5 linked regions of the Macaca mulatta genome follow. The protein of the gene in region 5 interacts with the protein of the main gene of each other region in a biochemical or structural test. Links are inferred from orthologs where the notes say so. Each region holds a gene or a part of one and is shown on either strand. Other genes may lie near its edges.

The links.
Region 1: the proteins of PCNA (region 5) and TRAIP form a complex in vitro, tested with the Homo sapiens proteins (2 studies listed by BioGRID, with this or other methods). The link is inferred for Macaca mulatta from reciprocal best matches to the Homo sapiens genes PCNA and TRAIP.
Region 2: the proteins of PCNA (region 5) and POLL form a complex in vitro, tested with the Homo sapiens proteins (3 studies listed by BioGRID). The link is inferred for Macaca mulatta from reciprocal best matches to the Homo sapiens genes PCNA and POLL.
Region 3: the proteins of PCNA (region 5) and CHAF1A form a complex in vitro, tested with the Homo sapiens proteins (4 studies listed by BioGRID and IntAct). The link is inferred for Macaca mulatta from reciprocal best matches to the Homo sapiens genes PCNA and CHAF1A.
Region 4: the proteins of PCNA (region 5) and POLK form a complex in vitro, tested with the Homo sapiens proteins (2 studies listed by BioGRID, with this or other methods). The link is inferred for Macaca mulatta from reciprocal best matches to the Homo sapiens genes PCNA and POLK.

What each region holds. Positions count from the first base shown.
Region 1 is NC_133407.1:113,315,582-113,320,395, forward strand, and holds part of TRAIP (E3 ubiquitin-protein ligase TRAIP), read right to left. Parts: coding exon 4,725-4,814; intron 4,221-4,724; coding exon 4,107-4,220; intron 2,744-4,106; coding exon 2,656-2,743; intron 2,038-2,655; coding exon 1,948-2,037; intron 1,525-1,947; coding exon 1,436-1,524; intron 1-1,435. UniProt on the Homo sapiens protein: E3 ubiquitin ligase required to protect genome stability in response to replication stress.
Region 2 is NC_133414.1:113,652,983-113,657,729, forward strand, and holds the end of POLL (DNA polymerase lambda), read right to left. Parts: intron 2,563-4,747; coding exon 2,394-2,562; intron 1,969-2,393; coding exon 1,604-1,968; 3' UTR 1,087-1,603; downstream 1-1,086.
Region 3 is NC_133424.1:5,265,043-5,269,856, reverse strand, and holds part of CHAF1A (chromatin assembly factor 1 subunit A), read right to left. Parts: intron 4,181-4,814; coding exon 3,916-4,180; intron 3,022-3,915; coding exon 2,558-3,021; intron 1-2,557. UniProt on the Homo sapiens protein: Acts as a component of the histone chaperone complex chromatin assembly factor 1 (CAF-1), which assembles histone octamers onto DNA during replication and repair.
Region 4 is NC_133411.1:81,997,937-82,002,750, forward strand, and holds part of POLK (DNA polymerase kappa), read left to right. Parts: intron 1-1,290; coding exon 1,291-1,462; intron 1,463-3,951; coding exon 3,952-4,814. UniProt on the Homo sapiens protein: DNA polymerase specifically involved in DNA repair. Plays an important role in translesion synthesis, where the normal high-fidelity DNA polymerases cannot proceed and DNA synthesis stalls.
Region 5 is NC_133415.1:78,832,789-78,838,249, reverse strand, and holds the start of PCNA (proliferating cell nuclear antigen), read right to left. Parts: upstream 3,424-5,461; 5' UTR 3,232-3,423; coding exon 3,011-3,231; intron 2,299-3,010; coding exon 2,201-2,298; intron 2,110-2,200; coding exon 2,042-2,109; intron 768-2,041; coding exon 573-767; intron 1-572. UniProt on the Homo sapiens protein: Auxiliary protein of DNA polymerase delta and epsilon, is involved in the control of eukaryotic DNA replication by increasing the polymerase's processibility during elongation of the leading strand.

The DNA.
Region 1 (4,814 bases), on a different chromosome or scaffold from region 5:
CAGGCTTGAGCCACCGCACCCGGCCAGTTTTAAGTTTTTTGATACAGGGTCTCATTATGTTGCCCAGGCTGGTCTTGAACTCCTGGACTCAAGCAATCCTCCCACCTTGGCCTCCCAAAGCGCTGAGATTACAGGTATGAGTCAATGCACTCAGCCAACCACTTCGATAGTTATGCCCAGAAAAATACTGGAGACAAAAATGAATGAAGTCATCCTCATGTGGCTTGATGACAAGCCCAGCCCAGCTTACGAAGGTTTGTCAATTTAGTGTCCTGCTGGCCTGAAAGCCAAGGGAGACCATTGTTGTCCTCCCTGTACCAAATGGGCTACAGGCCCTGGCATGAAGCTTACTCAGAATGAGGTGGGCCTGTCCCCATCTGGGAGCTACAGACCAGATTCTATAATGTAGTATATAGCTGGTGGGCTGTGGGCTTAGCCATCGAAACTCCCAGCTCATCTATCCCACTGGAACATAAGCTCCAAGAGAACAGAGAAGGCCTGCCATGCAGTGGGCACTCATCAAGGACCTGCTGTAGGAGTCCAGGCCTTCCAGCACACTGAAGAGGTAAAGAAAGTAAACAAAAGCAACTAGGCATGGTGGCTCACACCTGTAATCCCAGCACTTTGGGAGGCCGAGGCAGGTGGATCAGGAGGTCAGGAGATCGAGACCATCCTGGCCAACATGGTGAAACCCTGTCTCTACTAAAATACAAAAAATTAGCCGGGCATGGTGGTGTGCACCTGTAATACCAGCTATTTGGGAGACTGAGTCAGGGGAATCGCTTGAATCCAGGAGGCAGAGATTGCAGTAAGCCAAGATCATGCCACTGCACTCCAACCTGGCAACAGAGTGAGACTCCATTAAAAAAAAAAAAAAAAACTGGGGCCACTGACAGGAGTTGTGTGCCTTCTATCTGGGTCCTTGCTGGGGACTTTCGGCAGGCAGGAAGTAGCCTTGAGGATGCTCTCAGCTAGTCTGTTTCTGTGAAACTCTCAGGAGCAGAAACAGATGCCCATGCTTGCGGCGACACCAATCCTTCTGCCTCTTGGCTCCCTCTGCTGGCAGCTTTAAAGCATGCACTCCTGGCAGTAGGGGAATTATTTTAGAGTGGTTTCATATTTGTTTCAAAATCTAGGGTGGACAGATACATGTGGGGAGCTACTCCATAAACAGGATGCCCCAAGACAGTCAGTGCTCCTGCCCTATTCTCAGACCACTTCTAGGTCCTCTGGCCTTCTCTGGCCTCTCCGTGTCAGAGACTAATTTGCTTCAAAGCTGCCTGCCAGCTAAATCTTGGCTGGCTTCCAGGGCAGGTTGTCTGCAGACATCAGGTCCACAAAGGTCACCCACCCCACCAAAGCCAGAAGGAGTAAAGACTGTTACCAGAAGGCTCTCCCACCTTGTGACCCCTGTACCGCCCAAGGCTCAACAAACCTCTCTAAAACCAGGCGGTCGACAGTCTCATTGGCCACTGGTGGCAGGTTCAAAGTTTCCTGCAGCATCATTAGCTTCTTTTTCAGGCTCTTGGGGAGGGAAAAAAAAGTGTGTGAGAGAAAGGCTGAGGCATCAAGTCCAGAGATAATGCAGAGGACATGACTAGCATGCATGAAAGGCCGGCCCACTGGGAACAGAGCAAGGCCTGATACCCCATTATTAGGCTCAGGAGGCCAAGCCCCAGCTACAGTCCCTCCTCTGATGAGGGACCTCAGGGATGTAAGTACAGGACAGACTATGAGGGAAGACTCATGGTGCTATCTGCCCTCTGTTGAGGAGGCCCAGGTTCCAGTTCGGACCAGGGCCAAGGGGCACACCCTCACCCAGGAAGATGCAGGGGCCCAGAACCACCACTGACTGGTGCAAGGGTCCTGGGCAGAGATAGCCCAGCCCTGCTTTGGGAGGGCACACAAACCACCCCTCATTCCTGTCAAGCCAGGGATGTTCCTCACCATGATTTCCTTGTCAGCACTCTGTAAGTCCTTCTGGGCTGACTTCAGTTCTAACTTGGCCTGATCCAATTCAGAGTAGACTGTCTGCAACTATAAGAAAGTGTAGGGAGTGAAGGACAAGCCAAGTGTTAGCCTTGTTCCCTGCCCCCTCCTGCTGCTCCCCAGTGAGTGATCAAGGTAGCCTAGAGTCTAGAAGAGACTAGGGGTATGGGAAGAGATCCCAGCTCTCTGAGGCTAGGCCTCAGTCTGGCAATGCACATCCGGAGCTGCCCAGAAGCAAAGGCTGCTTCCTATATCCTGCAGCCTGTGGCTACACCATGCCAGAAGTAAAAGCAGCTATGCTGACCGAATGAGGTTCCAGGAGCCCTCCTACTCCAGACATGGTGCAAAAATAGGCCCCTGACGCTGTCACATTTGGGGCCTGTGCTCTCCAGCCAGCTGAGAGGTACCCAGGAGCTGGGAAGAGCAGAGGGGAGCATGAGTGTCCACATGTTGGCAGACACCTCTGTGATCTGTCTATCCCTACTGGACAAGTCACATATTCAGACCAATGCCCAGTAAGGACTGGTAACAAATCTCTATAAGTCATCCAGCTGCCCCAGGGAGTCAGCTGTGCCATCAGGTCCCATGGCCTTGCTCAGGAGACCAGAGTGAGCATGACAAAAGGAGAGCCGCCTCTCCTTCAACCCGTGTTCACTGCTAAGTTACCTTGCTTCTGGAGGAAAACAAATCCTTCCTCAGCTTCTCAGCCAGCTCCCCTGAGGCCTTCCGTGCCTCTTTTAGATTCTCGTACTCTCTGCAATGTGGCCATGGAAAGAGATGCCAGAAAAGAACACCTGCAGGTCAGACTGAGCCACAGCACTAATCTAACACAAAGCACTGCCCAACCCCTCAACTCATTCTCATTCCTACTTTGACACCTGAGCCCAGTAAGTACCAGGTGGCACTGTGGAGGGTCCTGCAGAGAACGCAAGGAAGTGACTCTTTCCTCCTGCCTGTCCTGCAGGCACTCGTGACTTGAGAGGGCATGCAGAAAGCCCCAGTCTCACTAGGGGGCCCCCTAAACCACCTGGCCTTTTTTTTTTTTTTTTTTTTTTTTTTTTTGAGAGGGAGTATCGCTCTATCGCCCCGGCTGGAGTGCAGTGGCCGGATCTCAGCTCACTGCAAGCTCCGCCTCCCAGGTTTACGCCATTCTCCTGCCTCAGCCTCCCGTGTAGCTGGGACTACAGGCGCCCACCACCTCTCCCAGCTAGTTTTTTGTATTTTTTAGTAGAGACAGGGTTTCACCGTGTTAGCCAGGATGGTCTCGATCTCCTGACCTCGTGATCTGCCCATCTCGGCCTCCCAAAGTGCTGGGATTACAGGCTTGAGCCACCGCGCCCGGCCTACCACCTGGTCTTAAAGGAAGCATCTTGGACCCTCTATGCCTCTCAGCTAAGTGACCCTCCACCCTTCCTGCCAACCTTACACCCACCAGAGTAAGAATACGAGTTTGATCCAAGCCAGGCAGGATCATAGTGCTAAAGGGGAACAGGCTCTAGATATCAATCACAATGGGGCTTATAGCTCAGAGAGCTAGGTCAACTCCCTTAGAAACAGCACTTAAGACTCACACTCAGGCCAGGCGCGGTGGCTCATGCCTGTAATCCCAGCACTTTGGGAGGCCGAGGCGGGCGGATCACGAGGTCAGGAGATTGAGACCGTGGTGAAACCCCATCTCTACTAAAAATAAAAAAATTATCCGGGCGCAGTGGCAGGTGACTGTAGTCCCAGCTACTCAGGAGGCTGAGGCAGGAGAACGGCGTGAACCCGGGAGGGGGAGCTTGCAGTGAGCCGAGATCCCGCCACTGCACTCCAGCCTGGGCGACAGAGTGAGACTCCGTCTCAAAAAAAAAAAAAAAGATTCACACTCAATCCTCTCAACAATCCTATGAGGCAGGTCTACTACTATCTCCATTCAGGAAGCTGAAGGTCAAAGAAGCCAAGAAACTGGCACCAGGCCACATAGCTGCTGAGAGGTGGAATCAGGGTTCAAAGGCAGCATGGCTCCAGAGTTTGCCCCTTAGCTCTATCTGCTTTACAAGAGATGGGAAGCAATGACATGGCGGGAGCCCCATGGCCTATCTCCTGTGTTTGCTGAGAGGGGCCACAGTACGCACTTCTTGAGAGACACACAGTACACAGCCAGCTGTTCCACCGCTGACTGTCCCACACCCATGTCTCGGATCATCTCCTCCACCTCTGGGCGCTGGCTCTGGAGTAGAAGCTCAATCCTGAAAAACACACCCAGCCCACGGCATTTGCAATCTGGAGGCTGATGGGTAGGTACCCAGTGCAGCTCTGCCTTCCTTTGCTGCCGTTGCTAAGGTAACAGGCTAGGCTGCTAGGATGTTTAGCAGGTGGGTGTGCCCAAGGAAAGGCCCCACAGCAGAGATGAGCATAGCTCCAAGGATGCTGCTGAGAAAGAAGAGGTGCTGAAAGAGGGTCTCAAGGTGAGGGATTTCCTGGAGAGAGGTTCCTGGAGGGAAAAACCCACCAGGTCATCTGGCCACAGGCAACAGAGACAGGGAGGAATGTGGCAAGGGCTCCCATTCCTTGGAATGGTGGAAGAGTTCATAGAGGCTAAGATCTGTGCCCACACCCAGCTGACCTCAGCCCTCCATGGCCTATGGAGATTCGAGCCTCGGACATGACCCAATCCCACTCCCTGTTGCAGTCATAAGAACTTGCAGGCCCTGGGGGCAAAGGCACAGTGCAGGACCCAGCTCCAAACTCACTGCTCCATGGTCTTCATCTTGCTCCTGAGTCGGCGGGCCTCCTCTTGCGCTTGTTTGGTCTCATCCTGCTGCTGCTCCAAGTACTTCATC
Region 2 (4,747 bases), on a different chromosome or scaffold from region 5:
CTGGGAGTAAACGTTCTTGGGGGAGAGGCTCGCCCCTCCAGAAGGCTTCTGGGCTTTTGACTGGCCATCTCTCGGGTTGGTGCTGAGCTGTGAAAGGGCCCTCCAGGTCCTGTGGGCTTCTGATTCCTTTCCCAATATGATCAGTGATGGGAAGACTCCCTGACTTACACGTCAGGGGTGTGAGCTTGAGTTGAGGGGCCTACTCCCAGGCTGCTAGGATCCCATGATCAAGACCAGGCAGACAAAGGCTGGCTCCGCGACTCTGCAAGTTACCAACAGGCATGTCGCCCACCCAGCACACTCAAGGTGGGATTCCCCCTCTGGAGCCAAAGCTGCCCTCACGCGCCACCACCCAAAACCCAGCACAGGGCCTCTCCAGGCTCCTCGCTCCTCCTCCAATACAGTCTCCTTCTGACTCTGTGCCCGCTCCTCCTCATACCTGGGCTGCCTGAATCTCCTTCCATGCCCCCACTGCCCCACCAAGTCTCCCTGCCCTGCGAAACAGCCTCAGGAAGCCATCCTGCACTCCCCAGCGGGACCTGCTCTCGTCTGCTCTATCAAACCAAGCTCTGCTTCCAGTCCTCTACCAGCCCAGCCTGCTCCTGACTCCCAGCACACAGTGTCCTCTCTAAAGCTGGTCCTTAATTGTCCCCCAACAGAGCCTGCTGACTCCTCTCAGAGGCAATTTCCCTGCCAGTCTGCCTCTCTCCTCCTCCGGGAAGCCTTCCCTGGCCGCCCATCCCTGTATACACAGGTCACTATTTAGTTGTTCCTAATGGTTTCCTGAGTCTTGCCACTTTTGCTTATGTCCCTGATAGCCTGGTCTAAGGCAGGGCCTGCAGAAGTTGGTGATGGCTAGATAGGAGCTCCAGGTGCCTGACTCCACGATTCTCCCTGGTCACAACCACTGCTATCCTTGCTGTGAGTTTAGGAGCTGACTCACGCCAGTCCTGTCTAGAGGGCAGTTAACACAGCCTTTCTGGGCTCCTCTTTTCAGTTCCCATCTCCGTCGTCCCTGCCTGGGTGGAAGAAGGTAGGTAGAAGCTGCAGCAGTTCAGACACCAGGCAGGTTCAATGTCAGATGCACTTTACTGGGCCCCTGGGCCTTCCAACACTGTCCTCACAGAGGCTGGGGCACCCCATTCCCAGCACCACCAGCTGCCCAGGAAGCAGCATGGGTAGAGGGAACACGTGTGGAATGGCTGTTCTCCTACCCCAGAGGGTCTTGGACGATGTTGACAGCACAGCTGCTTCCCTCTCCCCGGCAGCTTCTGTCCCCACCCAGCAGCTCAGCCTTTCTCACAGCAGGGAAGGGGGATGCCTGGGGCTTCAAATCAGCCACCTGCTCCTGCTTAAAATGGGATAAGGGGCCACTTGCAAAATTCCTCGAGGCAGCCTGCTCCTGTCTGGGAGAGGACTGGGTAGATACTGGGAGCCATGCTGGCTCTCGCTTCAGGCCCAGAGCCCTGGGCCCAGCTCGCTGAGGAAGCTGGTGGTTGGAGCAGCAAGGTTTGGCCAGCTGAGGCTGGAGGGAGTACTCCACTGGGTGGCCAGGAGGGGTAGCCAGTCCAACTCAGCTCTCCTCCGCACCCCCAGCCATGGGTCACCAGTCCCGCTCAGCAGGTTCTCGGTAGGGGAGGCCTAAGAGCCTGAAGACATCCTTCTCAGTGGGAGTGGGCAGCACTCGGCCAGGCCCCATCTTGCAGCCATGGGTGTTCCGGACCACAGCAGTGCTGAGGGCATGTTCTGACAGACTCATGCCCTTGGTCTTGGCCAGGGCTCGCATGGAGCGGTTGAAGTGTGCAGAGCCGGTAAAGTAGAGCAGGGCACAGGCAAACTCGCTGTAGGGCACCACGATGATGTCCAGGCGCCGGTGTCGCCACCCTGGCCCTGGGAGCCGGCACACCCCCAAGTACTTCTGTTGCTGACCATTCTCCTCTTGGCTCACCAAGTCATCTGTGAGGAACCCTGGCCCAATAGAGGGGACTACTGGGAGGGCAGGGAGCCAGGCCTGGGCTATCCCATACTCTCAGGTCTCTCCTGATCTCTAAGCTGGGGCTTGCCCAGGTATTAGCTGGGTGACACTACCCTCTCTGGGCCCTTCTCCTTTTCTGTAAAACATGGATAGTAATTCCCATCTCCCCCATAGTGTCACAGAAAGATCAGATGAGATACTCGGCCTGCAGGGTTCACTGAGCACCTCCACATAGGTGTGGCAGGGCTGCTTCATCTCTCCCTGGAGAGGATTCCAGCCCCGATAGAGATGGGATGCTGGCAAAGCACTGTTCCTCTGCTTCCTGCCTCGGGACTGGAACTTCTAAGGTTCTCCCTCAGGGGCCCCCAGCCCTGTGCTGCCCTCTGTCAACCTGCTCACCCAGAGATGGAGCTCATACCTTGCTGCCGAAGGCTGTCAAGGAGGCGGCTGAAGATACCCCGGTGGGACCGGCCATCTGGGTGAGTGATGAGCACGTCGACATCACCACAGGTTGCCTTTCCCCGTCGGTATGAACCACATGCCACACATAGCAGCCCGGAGTTAAAGGCCTGGGCTGCTTTCTGGACCTGGGAGAGAGCAGTGACAGGTGAGGGGCCGTGGGGAGCTCCTCTCCCACAGCAGCACAAGGGCCTTCCCGGACTCGGGCCCACACCCTCAGCTTATGCCCATTCCCCAATGCCTGCTGCAAGCCTGCGGGAATCCACCGTGGGGAGCTGCTGTTCTTTCCCTTCACTAGGACAGGAGAGAAGAAAAAGCTCACTGTGCAAGAGGCAAGCCTGAGAAGAGATGGGAGAAGGTGCCAGCTCTGCTTGTCAGAGTGGGCACTGAGCTTGCCCCATGGAGCTCTTTAAGAGTAGGGAGACACAGACTCTCTCTGCCCCTGCCCCAGCCCACATGCCCAGGTCTGTGAAACTCCACTTAGGACAAGGGGCCAGTTGCTGAAAGCCCTCAGTCAGGTCTAGGTAGCCCCAGATATCTACTGATTTGGAGCTAAAGGTTTGGAATATGTGAGCTGGGGCTTGAGGCCTGAGCAGGTGGCTGGCAGCATGCGCCAGGCCCAGGCCCGGGAGAAAGTGGAGTACAGAAATACAGCTGCACCTGTGGGAAAGGAGAGGAAAGAAAGCAAAGAGGGGGCAGTTCTGAGCCAAGAGCCACATCCTTTCTTGGTGGGGAGGGAGCTGAGATGGCAACTGTCAGCTGAAGGATTGTCCCTCTGAGGAAAAACAAACCCATTAGCCTCCACCCCTGAGACACTGAGGTTCTTTCATATGCAGATGGCCTCCCGCCTCCACCCCAGGACATGGAGAATTCTGGGGCCCTGGACACCTCAAGTCTCCTGACAGGAGGGCTCTGCTAATCCCCTTACTCCCTTCTTGAGCCTCCCAAGAGAATGGAAGGAGGAGGTCCATGTGAGTAATCCCATCAAAACTTCTATGGCTCGAGCCCTTAAATGGGGGCACAGGAGGCCAGGTGGGAAGCCTCTTTTGTTCCAATGGGCTGGGGACTGACTGAGGCATTCTCCATGCCTGGATACCATGGCGGAGTGACGGTGTCATCACTAGCACCAAGGCCTGGTGATGGGCAGACAAAGAGGCCTGTCCATCCATCTCATACCGGCCTCATAGCCTTGTGGCCTGGAATGAAGCTGGAGGCTGATTTCAATCAAACTGGGCCAGACTCCATGGGATCCCACTCTTTCAGAATCCCTGACCAAAGTGAGCAAACCTTGCCTATTACAAGCAGCTCCTAATCCTAATGCCCATTGAACAAATGACACATCTACCCGAAATGCAGCCCAATGTCTCTCTAATCTAGCTTTTACATGAACTTAATAGCTAACCCAACTCTAAACCAAACCCAAATCTTATTTCTTGGACAACTACAAATCTTAACTTAAAAGCAACCAACATTAAGAAAATCCTGCTGGGTGCGGTGGCTCACGCCTGTAATCCCAGCACTTTGGGAGGCCGAGGCGAGTGGATCACAAGGTCAGGAGATCGAGACCACCCTGGCTAACACGGTGAAACCCCGTCTCTACCAAAAATACAAAAATTAGCCGGGTGTGGTAGCGAGCACCTACAGTCCCAGCTACTCCAGAGGCTGACGTAGGAGAATGGCATGAACCCTGGAGGCAGAGCTTGCAGTGAGCCGAGATAGAGCCACTACACTCCAACCTGGGCAAAAGTGCGAGACTTTGTCTCAAAAAAAAAAGGAAAAGGAAAAAGAAAATTGAAGCCTAACTTTAAACTCGATCTTTTTTTTTTTTTTTTTTTTTTTTTTTGAGACGGAGTCTGGCTCTGTCGCCCAGGCTGGAGCGCAGTGGCGCGATCTCGGCTCACTGCAAGCTCCGCCTCCCGGGTTCACGCCATTCTCCTGCCTCAGCCTCCCGAGTAGCTGGGACTATAGGCGCCCACAACTGCGCCCGGCTAATTTTTTTGTATTTTTAGTAGAGACGGGGTTTCACCGTGGTCTCGATCTCCTGACCTTGTGATCCGCCCGCCTCGGCCTCCCAAAGTGCTGGGATTACAGGCGTGAGCCACCGCGCCCGGCCCTTTTTTTTTTTTTTTTAAGACAGAGTCTTGCTCTGTTGCCCAGGCTAGAGTGCAGTGGCGTGATCTTGGCTCACTGCAACCTCTACCTCCCAGGTTCACACAAATCTCCCTCTTCAGCCTCCCAAGTAACTGGGATTATAGGTATGAGCCACGGCACCCGGCTAACATTTTTGTACTTTTAGTAGAGACGGGGTTTCGC
Region 3 (4,814 bases), on a different chromosome or scaffold from region 5:
CTCGGAGGAAAGCCTAAGGTTCACAGGGACAGATAGGTCTGTGTTAAGAGTACAGATTAGAAATGAAACTCAGGGAGCCAGGCACAGTGGCTCATACCTACAATCCCAGTGCCTTGCGGGGCCAAGGCAAGGGGATTGCTTAAGCCCAGGAGTTGGAGACCAGCCTGGGCAACATGGTGAAACCCTGTCTCTACAAAAAATTAGCTGGGTGTGGTGGCATGCACCTGTAGTCCCTCTCAGCTACACAGGAGGCTGAGGTGGGAGAATCGCCTGAGACTGGGGAGGTCAAGGCTGCAGTGAGTGGTGATCTTACCACTGCACTACAGCCTAGGCAACAGAGTAAGACTCCCGACTCAAAAAACACAACAAAACAAAACAAAAAAAAAAAAAAGAGAGAAACTCAGTTACAAACAGTGTGATAAGGACAAAAAGTATGCAATGAATGTTACTAAAGCTGATCTATGGCCAGGGGTGGGTGCCAGGGGCCACTGGCTCTATGGGCATGGGAGTTTTTTCCTAAGATCAGGCAGTGCCCCCATCACACACCCCATGGCTCCATGCATTTGTGCCTCTGAGGCACCCATGAGGCTGGAATCACACAGCCATTCATTCCCCTTACAGGCTCCTGTCTGTGGCTTACACTGGGCGGCGTTCTGCATATCCCTGTGTCTGAAAGACCGATCAGAGTGCCTGGCACACAGTAAGTGCTTAATAACTGTGCTTGAATGCAAAATTCAAGAACCGTTGAACAAAAATAAAAATGCTACCACATGGGATATTATTCGGTGTGAAAAAAAAATGAGCTATCAAGCCACGAACAGACATGGGGGAACTGTCAATGCATACTGCCAAGTGAAAGGAGCCACACGCGGTGCGATTCCAGCTACGGGGCAATCTGGAAAAGGCCGATCCACCGAGACAGACAGGTTGGCGATTTCCAGGGGACTGGATGGACAGAGCACAGGGGCCTTTCAGCAGGGAGAGGCCTCTTTGTTCAGAGCAATAAAGGTGGACGCACAGCATCCAACATCCATTCAAATCACAGAACCCTCTACACCAGGAACCAACCCTAACAGAGACCGTAGACTCTGGGTGGTGGTGATTTTATGTATTTATTTTTAGAGACAGGGTCTCGCTGTCGCCCAGGTTGCAGTGCAGTGGCATGATCATAGCTCACTGCAGCCTCTATCTCCTAGCCTCCAGCAATCCTCCCGCCTTAGTCTCCTGAGTAGCTGAGACTACAGATGCATGCCACCGCCACTGCTTGGCTAATTTTTTTTTTTTTTTTTTTTTTTTTTTTTTTTTTTTTTTTTTGAGACGGAGTCTCACGCTGTTGCCCAGGCTGGAGTGCAGTGGCGCGATCTCGGCTCACTGCAAGCTCCGCCTCCCGGGTTCCCGCCATTCTCCTGCCTCAGCCTCCTGAGTAGCTGGGACTACAGGCGCCCGCCACCGCGCCCGGCTAATTTTTTGTATTTTTAGTAGAGACAGGGTTTCACTGTGGTCTCGATCTCCTGACCTTGTGATCCGCCCGCCTCGGCCTCCCAAAGTGCTGGGATTACAGGCTTGAGCCACCGCGCCCGGCCTGCTTGGCTAATTTTAAAATTTTTTCTTATAGAGATGGAGTTTTGTCATGTTGCCCAGGCTGGTCTCCAACTCCCAGGCTCAAGTGATCCTCCCACCTCGGCCTCCCAAAGTGCTGGGATAACAGGCTTAAGCCACAGTGCCCGGCCTGAGTGCAATGACTGTAACCAGTCCACTGCTCTGGAAGGTGATGTTGGTAACGCGTGGCTTGGCTTGGCTTTGGGGAAGGAGGTGTATGGGAACTTTCTGTACCTTCCAATCGATTTTGCTGTGACCCTAAAACTGCTCTAAGAGTAGTTTTAGGCTGGGCACAGTGGCTCAAGCCTGTAATCCCAGCACTTTGGGAGGCCGAGATGGGCGGATCACGAGGTCAGGAGATCGAGACCATCCTGGCTAACACGGTGAAACGCCATCTCTAAAAAATACAAAAAAACTGGCCAGGAAAGGTGGCAGGCGCCTGTTGTCCCAGCTACTCGGGAGGCTGAGGCAGGAGAATGGCGTAAACCCGGGAGGCGGAGCTTGCAGTGAGCCGAGATCTGGCCACTGCACTCCAGTCTGGGTGACAGAGCGAGACTCCGTCTCAAAAAAAAAAAAAAGTAGTTTTAAAAAAACACAAAAGCGCCGGGCGAGGTGGCTCACGCCTGTAATCCCAGCACTTTGGGAGGCCAAGGCAGGTGGATCACGAAGTCAGGAGTTTGAGACCAGCCTGATCAACATGGTGAAACCCTGTCTCTACTAAAAATACAAAAATTAGCCAGGTGTGGTGGTGCACACCTGTAATCCCAGCTACTCAGGAGGCTGAGGCAGGAGAATCGCTTGAACCCGGGAGGTAGAGGTTGCAGTGAGCCGAGATCGCACCACTGCACTCCAGCCTGGGTGACACAGAGCAAGACTACATTTCAAAAATAAAACAAAACAACAAAAAACAAACAAAGAAAACTGCCCCCAGGGGCACCCACTGCCCGCCCCACCTCACCTGGCCGTCGTGCCTGCGCTTCTTCATGAATTGGGTGATGCACATGCTGCCCGCTGACTTCCTCTTCAGTGAGATGGGAGTGCCCTGGCTGGGTCCCGTGGAGGGGACGCTGCCACTGTCCTCTCTGGGGGCCGAGGGCACTGAGGTCACGTAGCTCCACTGGCATGGCACGGGCAGGTGCTCCTGCTGGAAGCTCTGTAGCACCTGCGGGTGCACGTACCAGCACATCCTGAAGTCGGGCCGCTTCTCGTACACTGAGTTCTCGGAAATGAGCCGCTTGAGCCGGGACTTAGAGGGTATGGCAGCGTCCTCGCTGGTGGTGTGCAGGCAGGTAGCGGAGGGGCTTGGGGGGCTGCCGGTGTGCTTGCTGAGCAGTCCCCGGCGGCAGTGCTCCTGGAACTCCCGGATGATGACCTTGCTCCCGTTCACGTTGCCATGCAGGAGCGGCAGCAGCTGGGCCAGGACTGGCGGGAGGGAACATGGATGGGCATGAGGTTTGGGGAGCCACCTATCACCACAGGCCAAAAACCAAAACACACACAGCTCCTCCTCGCCACTGAGGCTCCGGGCATGGCCAGCTTCAGGGATAGGTGGCCTCATGAGGGCGGTCGTAAGACAGGGCAGCACCCACGCACCTGCCCAGAAGTGAGCCTTGGCCGGGCACATGCGTTGCCAGGGCTGACTTCAAATGCCTGCTGTTCCTACCCAAATGGCAGCCCTGCTCTCCTTGTGTGCCATAGTCCCTCCCCAGTTTTTTGAGTTTTTTTTTTTTTTTTTAGATGGGGTCTCGCTCTGTCACCCAGGCTGGAGTGCAGTGGCAGTATCATGGCTCACTGTAGTCTGGAACTCCTAGGCTCAAGCAATCCTCCCACCTCAGCCTCATGAGCAGCTGGGATCACAGGTGCATGAGACCATGCCCAGGTAATTTTGTATTTTCTGCAAAGATGAAGTTTTGCCATGTTGCCCAGGCTGGTGTCGAAGCACTAGGCTCAAGCGATCCTCCCACCTTGGCCTCCCAAAGTGCTGGAATCACAGTCTTGAGCCACTGTGCCCGGCCCCTCCCTGGCTTTTGAGAAAGCGTAGCCCCCACTCCAGCACACTCTGCGCCTGAGTCCTGGTTGATAAAACAAGCCTGGACCTGCCTCGTCCTGCCGCTGGGGACATCATCGAATGTACGGATGTGTGCGGGAAGAGGGCTGGCCTCTGTTATTTGTGGAAAGAACATTTGCACCATGGACCCACTAGCCTGTGAGACTCTTGCCCTCAGCCCTGAAATTAGCTGGGCCCAGGAACAGGTGGGTGGCCCGGCCACGCCCCTGAGAAGGGGAGGCCCTGCCTGAAGCCCCACCCACACTCACTCTGCTGGTCTCTGTTCTCCCGCTTGGAGGCCTTGGAGGCCTTGGGCGTCTGCTCCTCCTGGACAGGCACGGTCTCCAGGAAGCAGGCTGCGAACTGCTGCAGTACCTTCAGGTCGTCGCCTGCGCAGTCTCTGTCAGCTGCCCACACGCAGCCAATCTTGACGGGCTGCAGGACGCGAAAGCGCTTCCCCTTAGCCAGGAACTCATCCCACTCCTTGGCCTTCAGTTTCTGGCGGACCTTATGGTTCTCAGGGTCGGCACACTCCTTGTGGGTTAGAAAGCAGAAGTTTATTTGGGGTTCATGCTCCCCTATGCCCGGGCACTCTTTTGAGGTTCCAGTCTCAGCTGGCTGGGGAGCCAGAGGAAAGGACAGGGGCGCAAAACTCACAGTGTCAGGGCCAGGGCAGAGCACACCGTGCGCTGGCTGCCCCTCTTCCAGATGGAGTAATTCACACCTGGTCTCCTTTGGGAGAGTCACAAGATATTTCTGAGCTCACCCATGAGGCCTCTTTTAACACCCCTCTGAATTTCTGGTGAATGTGTGATCGTGGAGCTGTTTAACAGGGTCGGGTGCCTACCCACATGGCCCGGGCATCTGGCAGACACATGTAGGGCCTGAGACCACTCTCTGACAGACAGTTCAGGCCTTGGTGGTCAGATATGCACAAGGAATGCATAGCCCTCCAACACAACCATGAGACAGTCCCACCAAATCCCCACTTCCCAAACAACAGGCCTGAGATACTCCCACCAAATCCCATTTCCCAAATGACAGGCCTTCAGAGCCCCAAAACAACTTGCTTGAAAGAAAGTTCCTGCCGGGTGCGGTGGCTCACCTGAGGTCAGGAGTTCAAGACCAGCCTGGCCAACATGGTGAAACCCTGTCTCTACTAAAAATA
Region 4 (4,814 bases), on a different chromosome or scaffold from region 5:
GGCTGAGGCAGGAGAACCATTGGAACCTGGAAGGCAGAGGCTGCAGTGAGCCGAGATCCCGCCACTGCACTCCAGCCTGGGCAACAGAGTGAGACTCTGTCTAAAACAAAAAACAAACAAAAAAATTCAGTTGGGAAGGGGAATAATAATTACTGGCTAAAATGGGATTTTAGGTTAGGCATAGTGGCTCATGGCTGTAATCTCAGCACATTAGGAAGCTGAGGCAAGAGATTGCTTGAGCCCACGAGTTCAAGACCAGCCTGGACAACCCAGTGAAATCACGTCTCTACAAAAAAAATTTTAAAATTAGCTGGACGTGGTGGCACGAGCGTGTAGTCCCAGCTACTTGGGAGGCTGAGGCAGGAGGATAACATGAGCCTGGGAGGTCGAAGCTGCAGTGAGCCATGATCACGCCACTGTACTCCAGCCTGGGCAATAGAGCGAGACCCCCATCTCAAAAACAAAATAAAATGGGATTTCAGCTTGTGTTTGGAAAGGGGAGTAAAAGTTTTTGGCTGAAATGGTATTTTAATTTTTTTTTTTTTTTTTTTTTTTGAGGTGGAGTCTTGCCCTGTCACCCAGGCTGGAGTGCAATGGTATGATCTCGGCTCAATGCAACCTCTGCCTCCCAGCTTCAAACTGTTCTCCTGCCTCAGTCTCCCCAGTCGCTGGGATTAAAGGCGCCTGCCGTCATGCCCAGCTAATTTTTGTATTTTTAGTAGAGACAGGGTTTCACCATATTGGCCAGGCTGGTCTTGAACTCCTGACCTCGTGATCCGCCCTCCTCGGCCTCCCAAAGTGCTGGGATTACAGGTGCGAGCCACCACGCCCGGCCTCTTATTCTTTGTGGTATTTTTATCACCATGTTTTATAAATAATTGGTTATACTTCCATAATCTTATGTCCATAAACCTTTCTGAATTTTTCTAACATGTAAATGACTTTTTTCTAGAAGTTAGGAAGTCATACAGAATAATGTATTCTGGTGGGTGCAGTAGCTCATGCCTATAATTGCAACACTTTGCAAGGCCAGGATCGCTTGAGGCCAGGAATTTGAGACTAGCCTAGGTAACGTAGTGAGACTCCATCTCTACAAAAAATAAAAAATTAGCTGGTGTAGTGACATGCACTTGTAATCTTAGCTACTCAAGAGGCTGAGGCAAGAGGATCACTTGAGCCCAGAAGTTGAAGGCTGCAGTGAGCTACAGCTGTGCCAGCGCACTCCAGCGTGGACAACAGAGAGAGACTCTGTCTCATAAATAAATAAATAACATATTGTATATGTTGTAGGGTAGAACTGTTACCATTAAGTTGAAGAATGTGAATTTTGAAGTAAAAACTCGTGCATCTACAGTTTCATCTGTTGTTTCTACTGCAGAAGAAATATTTGCCATTGCTAAGGAATTGCTAAAAACAGAAATTGATGCTGATTTTCCGCATCCCTTGAGATTAAGACTTATGGGTATGACTTTTTTATTTTTTTGTTTTTCCTTAAATCTGCTAGGTTTTCCTAAATAATTCACTTTGGGAATACAGGGGGCCCCCAACTTAACAATGGTTCAACTTAATGATTTTTCAACTTTGCGATGGTGGGAAAGTTGTATGCTTTCAGTACACTTTTGACTTACAGTGCGGTTACATCCTGATAAACCTGTCATAAATTGAAAGTATTGTAAGTTGACTTATTATGTTTTCAATTTACAGTGGGTTTATCTGGATACAATCCTATTGTAAGTCAGTGAGCACCTGTATTCTCGCCTTCATTTTATTTCTTAAATCTGTTTAGGAAGTTCTTCCTTTGCTGCTGCCATTTATCTTAATTATTAGACCCTGATGTGTGAAGCCATGATCATTAGTTTAATTCCAGTAAGAGCCAATTAAAGTTGTTCTTTTCCTCATAACTTAATGAAATTCTTGTGGCCAGGTATCTTTCAAAATTCAAAACTTTTCAGATTTTGGAAAGCAAATTCAGTGCATGTAGAGTATATTATGTTGTAATACTTCTTTGTGGATCTGGGGCAACACCCCCTATTCAAACATATTAATATTTCTATAGCAAAACAAAATATTCAGAGACTGTAAAGACTGATGACTTTAATTTAGTCATCAAATATCACTTGTTGCTTACAATTTTCAGAACTTTTTGGATTTTGGAATTACAGATAAAGGATTGTGACATTGTGAAATCACATCTCCAAGCCATTACATGGTAAAAACTAACAAGCCATGTTTCCAAAGTGAACTGGTTGAAAGTATGTATATGGATCAGCACTCCAAATGCACATTTTACTAGTAAGGAGTGGGTCACTAGCCATACTTTCATTTATGAAAGATATAGCACACACTGAAATCTACTGAATAAAGTGTTAATTCAAAGAGCCAGGCCAGGCGTGGTGTCTCACACCTGTAATCCCAACACTTTGGGAGGTCAAGGCAGGTGGATCGCCTGAGGTCAGGAGTTTGAGACCAGCCTGGCCAACATAGTGAAACCCCATCTCTACTAAAACTACAAAAAATCAGCTGGACACGGTGGTGGGCACCTGTAATCCCAGCTGCTCGAGAGGCAGAGGCAGGAGAATCGCTTGAACCTGGGAAGTGGAGGTTGCAGTGAGCTGAGATCACACCATTGCACTCCAGCCTGGGCAACAAGAGTGAAACTCTACCTCAAAAAAAAAAAAAAAAAAAAAAAAAAAGCCAAGAGCAGGTATCTATAGAAGCTTAATTCATAATTGCCAAAACTTTGAAACAAGCAAAATGTCCTTCGGTACATGAATGAATAAATAAACTGTGGTACATACAGACAGTGGAATAATATTCAGCACAGAAAAGAAGTGAATTATCAATTCATGAAAAGACATGAATGAAACTTAACTGCATAATGTTAAGTAAAAGAAGCCAATCTGGGCCGGGCGCGGTGGCTCAAGCCTGTAATCCCAGCACTTTGGGAGGCCGAGGCGGGTGGATCACGAGGTCAGGAGATCGAGACTATCCTGGCTAACATGGTGAAACCCCGTCTCTACTAAAAATACAAAAAACTAGCCGGGCGTGGTGGCGGGCGCCTGTAGTCTCAGCTACTTGGGAGGCTGAGGAGGGAGAATGGCGTGAACCCGGGAGACGGAGCTTGCAGTGAGCCAAGATCACGCCACTGCACTCCAGCCTGGGAGACACAGCGAGACTCCGTCTCAAAAAAAAAAAAAAAAAAGAAGCCAATCTGAAAAAACTAAATACTGTATGATTCCAACCATATGAGATTCTGGAAAAGGCAAATATGAGTACCATAAAAAATAATTGATTGTCAGGAGTTAAGAGGAGAAGAAGAGATGAATAGGCAAAAACACAGGAATTTTAGGGCAATGAAATGATTCTGTATGATTCTATAATGACACGTCATTATAAATTTGTCCAGGCACACAGAATGTATTCCAAGGGTGAACCCTATGTAAGCTATGGACTTTGAGTGACAATGTTGTGGCAATGTAGGTTTATAGATTGTAACAAATGTACCACTCTGGTGCCACATGTTGATAGTTGGGGTGGAGGGGTATGCTTGTGTAGGGGAAGGGAATCTATGGGAACTCATTGTACCTTCTGCTCAATTTTGCTGTGAACCTAAAATTTCTCTAAAAAATAAAGTTTATTAGAAAAAAAAGAGCTAAAGAGTCTGTATAGTTGACTCCGGTTAGTTACTGGTATTAATGTAATGGTATGTGTCATATATGAATTAAAATCCTACATCATTATGCTAACTCCAAATAGATAGTTAATATTTAATGATATTCTTTTATAAAGGAAGGTAAATTTGTACTTATAATAACAGCTTTGAAATGTGACTTATTTTTTCTCTCTAGCCAACCTTTTGCATATGTCATAGCACTAGACAAAATGTTTTTATGCATTATGAGTGAATTGGCTTTGTTCAATATGAAATTGATTGTGATTGGTTTAATTTAGGTGTTCGGATATCTAGTTTTCCCAATGAAGAAGACAGGAAACACCAACAAAGGAGCATTATTGGCTTTTTACAGGCGGGAAACCAAGCCCTGTCAGCCACTGGGTGTATACTAGAGAAAACAGACAAAGATCAGTTTGTAAAACCTCTAGAAATGTCTCATAAGAAGAGTTTCTTTGATAAAAAACGATCAGAAAGGAAATGGAGTCACCAAGATACATTTAAATGTGAAACTGTGAATAAACAAAGTTTCCAGACATCACAACCATTCCAAGTTTTAAAGAAGAAGATGAGTGAGAATTTGGAAATACCAGAGAATTCAGATAACTGTCAGATATTTACCTGTCCTGTTTGCTTTAGGGCACAAGGGTGCATCAGTCTGGAAGCCTTTAATAAACATGTAGATGCATGTCTTGATGGATCTTCAATCAGTGAAAACTCTAAAGTGTTCTCGTGTTCACATGTTTCTGCTACCAGAGTTAACAAGAAAGAAAATGTTCCTGCTTCTTCACTTTGTGAGAAGCAAGATTATGAAGCCCATCCAAAAATTAAAGAAGTGTCTTCAGTAGATTGTGTAGCTTTAGTAGATACTATAGATAACTCATCTAAAGCAGAAAGCATAGATGCTTTAAGTAATAAGCATATCAAGGGAGAATGTTCTAATCTCCCAGGCAAGTCTTTTAATATTGAACACTGTCATCAGAATTCTTCTTGCACTGTTTCGTTGGAAAACGAAGATGTTGGATTATTAAGCAGACAAGAATCCTGCCAGCCTTACTTATGTGAAGTGATAACAGGCCAAGCTCTAGTTTGTCCTGTTTGTAATGTAGAACAAAAGACTTCAGATCTAACCCTGTTCAATGTG
Region 5 (5,461 bases):
TCTCTAAGTACTCTCAAAGTTGCACGGAGTCTGCTTTCTAGCCTTAGTGAGAAGTCTTCCTGTTTAACCTTTGATTCCTACAGCCTGTGACTTTGGCTAAATTGTCACTTAAGATTGCTCAGCCTGCTTCTCCACCTTTAAAATGGGCTACCAATTGGACCCACAACATGTACGCTAATATAAGGATTACATAAGCGCTCCTAACAGGTAGACTTTTACTCCTAACCATACCCTTCTATAGAGTTGCTGTTCTATGCTTATTTGGTAAGAGTAAATATCTCCAGAAAGCTAAAGGTTAGATGCCTAGCTTCCCAATCCTACCCTTAAGAGCCTGTGTGGGCTTGATCCATAAACCATTGTTCTGTGGTATGTACACGTGCTGAATTTGTATTCCCTTCTTGCAAATATAATTCTAAATTGGATGACACAAATCAGTTGCAGATTTCAACAGTATCTCAATTTTCAGAAATTACTTGGGATCCAATTCTGTCTACTTTTAATTTTAGCAATTAACCTAATAAGCAGTATTACAATTCTCTTCAAACTTTTTTTTTTACTTAAAAACTACTTACAGCTTCCTCCTCTTTATCGACATTACTTGTCTGTGACAATTTAATGTTTCCATTTCCAAGTTCTCCACTTGCAGAAAATTTCACGCCGTCTTTTGCACAGGAAATTACAACAGCATCTCCAATATGGCTGAGATCTCGGCATATACGTGCAAATTCACCAGAAGGCATCTTTACTACACAGCTGTACTCTTGTTCCTATTAAGAACAAAAATTTTCCAAAAGTTACTTGTTAGAAATTTAATGATTTGGCACCCTCACTTTCTTAAAAGGCAACATCTAAACAACTCAGAATCAAGATTTTCTGATTACTGACTCGTGTAATTTCTTAACAAACTCCACTCAAAAAAAATAAATGGCTATTAAATGCACTGCCCAGGGAACAAGCGCCTCCTCCTCCTCATCCTCCAGGGATAAAGTAAGAGAACATTAGAGTATGCCACAGAAATGATGACGGCGCAAGCAGGTCTAACTATTTTCTAAAAGAAAACGAGAGAATATGATATTAGGCATTTTCAACATTCCAACATTTCTTCTCTCCTTTGGTGTTTATAAACCTAACCTGGATACATTTCTTCTAAGATAGCTTTCAAACCCACTTAACAAAAATCAAGCATCGGGCCGGGCGCGGTGGCTCAAGCCTGTAATCCCAGCACTTTGGAAGGCCGAGACAGGCGGATCACAAGGTCAGGAGATCGAGACCATCCTGGCTAACCTGGTGAAACCCCGTCTCTACTAAAAAATACAAAAAAAAAAAAAAAAAAAAAAAAAAAAAAACTAGCCGGGCGAGGTGGTGGGCGCCTGTAGTCCCAGCTACTCGGGAAGCTGAGGCAGGAGAATGGCGTAAATCTGGGTGGCAGAGCTTGCAGTGAGCTGAGATCCGGCCACAGCACTCCAGCCTGGGCGACAGAGCGAGACTCCGCCTCAAAAACAAAACAAAACAAAACAAAACCAACCATCCTAGAAGGAAGCAAATTTTAAAAGAGGTTCATGGAAATTAATGCAAATAGACAACTGGCAGTAAACAATAAATTTAACCAGTGAGTTTTAGACTTGTGGTAAACAACTATCCAAATACTAAAATCTCTTTAAAACATGCACCAGTAGATATGTTTCTAGAAAAAGTTCTGTTATGAAGTAGGCTTAAATTATATTAACTTATCTTGACGGAGGAGGATCATTGAGGCCAGGAGTTCCAGACCAGCCTGGGCAAGACTGCCCCCACACCCACACACAAAAATAAAAAAATTAGCCAGGCGTGGTGGGACAGATCTGTAGTCCTTCCTAGCCACTTAGGAGACTAAGTGGATTGCTTGAGCCCAGGAGTCCCAGGTTACAGTGAGCTATATGGCACCACTGCACTCCAGCCTGGGGAAAAGAGGAAGACCCTGTCTGTAAAAATAAACAACATTCTATGATATAACTATCATGCCTGTGTACAGCAGTCGCTACAATCAGAAACTGATACTCACTGGAATTCCAAGTTGTTCAACATCCAAATCCATCAACTTCATTTCATAGTCTGAAACTTTCTCCTGGTCTACCAAAAAAAAGCAAATGCTGTTGAGAAACACTGGCACAGAGTTTTGATCTTCTGTAGCTTCATAACTCAGTAAAAAGGTACGACTTACTGGGTGCTTCAAATACTAGCGCCAAGGTATCCGCATTATCTTCAGCCCTTAGTGTAATGATATCTTCATTGCCGGCGCATTTTAGTATTTTGGACATACTAGAAGACAGGAGACACATGGTTTAAAATCAACACCATCTACTGAAGGTCTGTATTTCTAATGCAGTTAGAAGGGGTTACCACTCTCACCCATAGGCCGTCTCAGAACTGGTGGAGGGTAATTGCACTGCTGGAGGATGCGAATATTAATGCAGACATTTTGGGATGCATCTGGCAGTATTTATACTAAAATACCACCAGCAGTTTCCCTTCTGGATAGAAACAATCTCCTGCCACTAAGTAGGATGACAGGCTGACACTTTTCTCGCAAGGGCACATTATAAAGCATTTAAAGTCAATCGCGACTGAGCCGGGAGGATCGCCTGAGCCCAGAAGTTGGAGACCAGCCCGGGCCAACACATCGAGACCGTCTCGGAAACAAAAAAGCCACAACTAAAGCGTCCATTCAAGGCCAACAGGATTTAGTGAGCAAAAGCTCTGGAGCAGTGTTCCTGGCACTGCAGAAAAACCAGTCATTTTCCCGCCACCACCCGCTTTGTGACTTTGGCGCGAAAAAGCAGGTTCGCGCAGCAGCCAGCGCGGGCTTTTCCGAACCGCGCGCTCAGCTGGGCCCCACCCCCCTGCATGGCAGGCCAATGAGAAGGTGCGGATGGTCCACGCCAGCCAATGAGGGCTCGGCTCGGAAGCGATCCCGCCAAACCCCGGAGGTGGGGGTGGGCCGGGGCCGGCTTCTCGACGCCGCGAGGCTCACCTGGTGAGGTTCACGCCCATAGCCAGGTTGCGGTCGCAGCGGTAGGTGTCGAAGCCCTCAGACCGCAGGGTGAGCTGCACCAAGGAGACGTGGGACGAGTCCATGCTCTGCAGATTTACGCCGCTGGAGCTAATATCCCAGCAGGCCTCGTTGATGAGGTCCTTGAGGGCCTCCAACACCTTCTTCAGGATGGAGCCCTGGACCAGGCGCGCCTCGAACATGGTGGCGGAGTGGCAGCAACGCGGCTACAGGCAGGCGGGAAGGAGGAAAGTCTAGCCGGTTTCCGCTTCAGGAGCCTCAGAGCGAGCGGGCGAACGTCGTGACGAGAAGCTGAGACCTAGAAACAGAACTACCAGTCTGCTACGCCTGCAACCGTTTAATGCCGCCGCGTCCGCCAGCGCGCGCTCTTACCCTGCGCCGCGTTGCGACGTCACCACGCTGCCCGGCCCACGGCCTGGGCGGGTTAGAATTTAGGGCCAATCGTGCCGATGCTCCCCGCGAGGCCCGCCCCCTAGGACATACATTGGAGGAAGCGGGTGCAGGGCGGGGCAGCGTCCCGCAGGTCTCCCCGCCTCTTCGCCTGACTCCTGAACCTGACCACTGAACAAGTCCGGGCATATGTGGGGATCCGGCCCAGGCCCCGGTTCGTCAAGCCCCAGCTTTATGGTGCCTCCTCAGCCTCCAGCTCCGTGGGTAGAAAGTTTCCAGCCACGAAAGTGAAAGTGAAAAGCAAATCCAGCCTACCGGGAGGAAAAGCCTCCTTGTAGCCTGAAGAGTACAGCTGCTGCAAATATGCACTTTATTTTTCAATTACAAAAGTGATGCGCTCCTAAGTGTCACACCATAAAGAGTTATGTTAAACTTAGCTCCCTCTCACCTCTTAACATTCCACTGCCAGCTCTTATAATCACTCAATCGTTCCTTGTATAAAGCTTTTAAAGCTTTTTTGAAAGTTCGAATACACTTTTTTTTTTCAAAATGCACTCATTCCGTAAACACTTCGAAAAAGTACTTAATAAAGTACATTTAATTTTATGCCACGTACATCTTTTTTATATCAGTACCTCTTTAAAAGATAGCATCACATGTATGTAACTTATCAATCTCCTGTTAATTACAAACACCTTTGAGCACTTAGGCAATTTTGGTGCTATCAACTCCTTGAAGTAATACAGCTGAGTCAAAGAGCGTACACATTTAATTTTTTTTCTTTTCTTTCTTTCTTTTTTTTTGAGATGGAGTCCTGCTCTGTCATTCAGGCTGGAGTGCAGTGGCGCGATCTCGGCTCACTGCAACCTCCGCCTCCCAGGTTCAAATGATTCTCCTGCCTCAGCCTCCCGAGTAGCTGGGATTACAGGCGCCTACCACCGCGCCCGACTAATTTTTTTTTTTTTTTTTTTTAGTAGAGACGGGGTTTCACCATGTTGGCCAGGCTGGTCTCGAACTCCCGACCTCAGGTGATCACCCGCCTCAGCCTCCCAAAGTGCTGGGATTACAGGCATGTGCCACCATGCCCGGCTAAATTTTTGATAAATGTTACTAAATCTCTAAAAGTTTGCAATTTACATTCTAGCCAAGACTGTGTATGAACATGCTCATTTATCTTTATTTTCCTAACTACAGATATTAGCAATCTCATTTTTTAATCATTGCTCATCTGTGTCAAAAATTCAATTTTTTTTTTTTTTTGAGACAGAGTCTTGCTCTGTTGCCCCGGCTGGACTGCAGTGGCACTATCTCGGCTCACTGAAACCTCCGCCTCCCAGGTTCAAGCAATTCTCCTGTCTCAGCCTCCCAAGTAGCTGGGATTACAGGTGCCTACCACTACACCCGGCTAATTTTTGCATTTTTAGTAGAGACGGGGGTTTCACCATGTTGGCCAAGCTGGTCTCGAACACCTGACCTCAGGTGATCCACCCGCTTTGGCCTCCCAAAGTGCTGGGATTACAGGCGTGAGCCACTGCACCCAGCCAGAAAATTTCAATTGTTACAGGATGGACAGGGTTTGTTGTTTCTCTCCTGCTTTGTTTACACCATTTCTCTTTAGTTACTTTTAATATCTTGGTCAGTGGAATTCTTTAGTTTTTCTACCATGTATCTAGGTATGGATTTAGTTTTATTTATCTTGTTGAAGGAACTGAAGATTCATTTCAAGTCTTACATATTCTCAATCATTATGGCTTCAAGTATCTCCTCTCCTTAGTCTATTCTTTATCTCTGGAATGCCTTTCTTTCCTTTTTTTTTTTTTTTTTTCCTAGTTCGGCTATGACTCCATACAAGGTTCTAAGAGGAGTTTCACAGTCTCTTCCCTGGGTTTTGTGGAGACTTAACTTTATCCTTCTGTATCAGCCTCTTAGAGCACTGGGTCAGCCTTAAAAAGGAACAGGAAAGGGCATTTCTGGTATTTCTATTATAAGATGCCTTCAATTGTAATGTGTACAATTATTTTA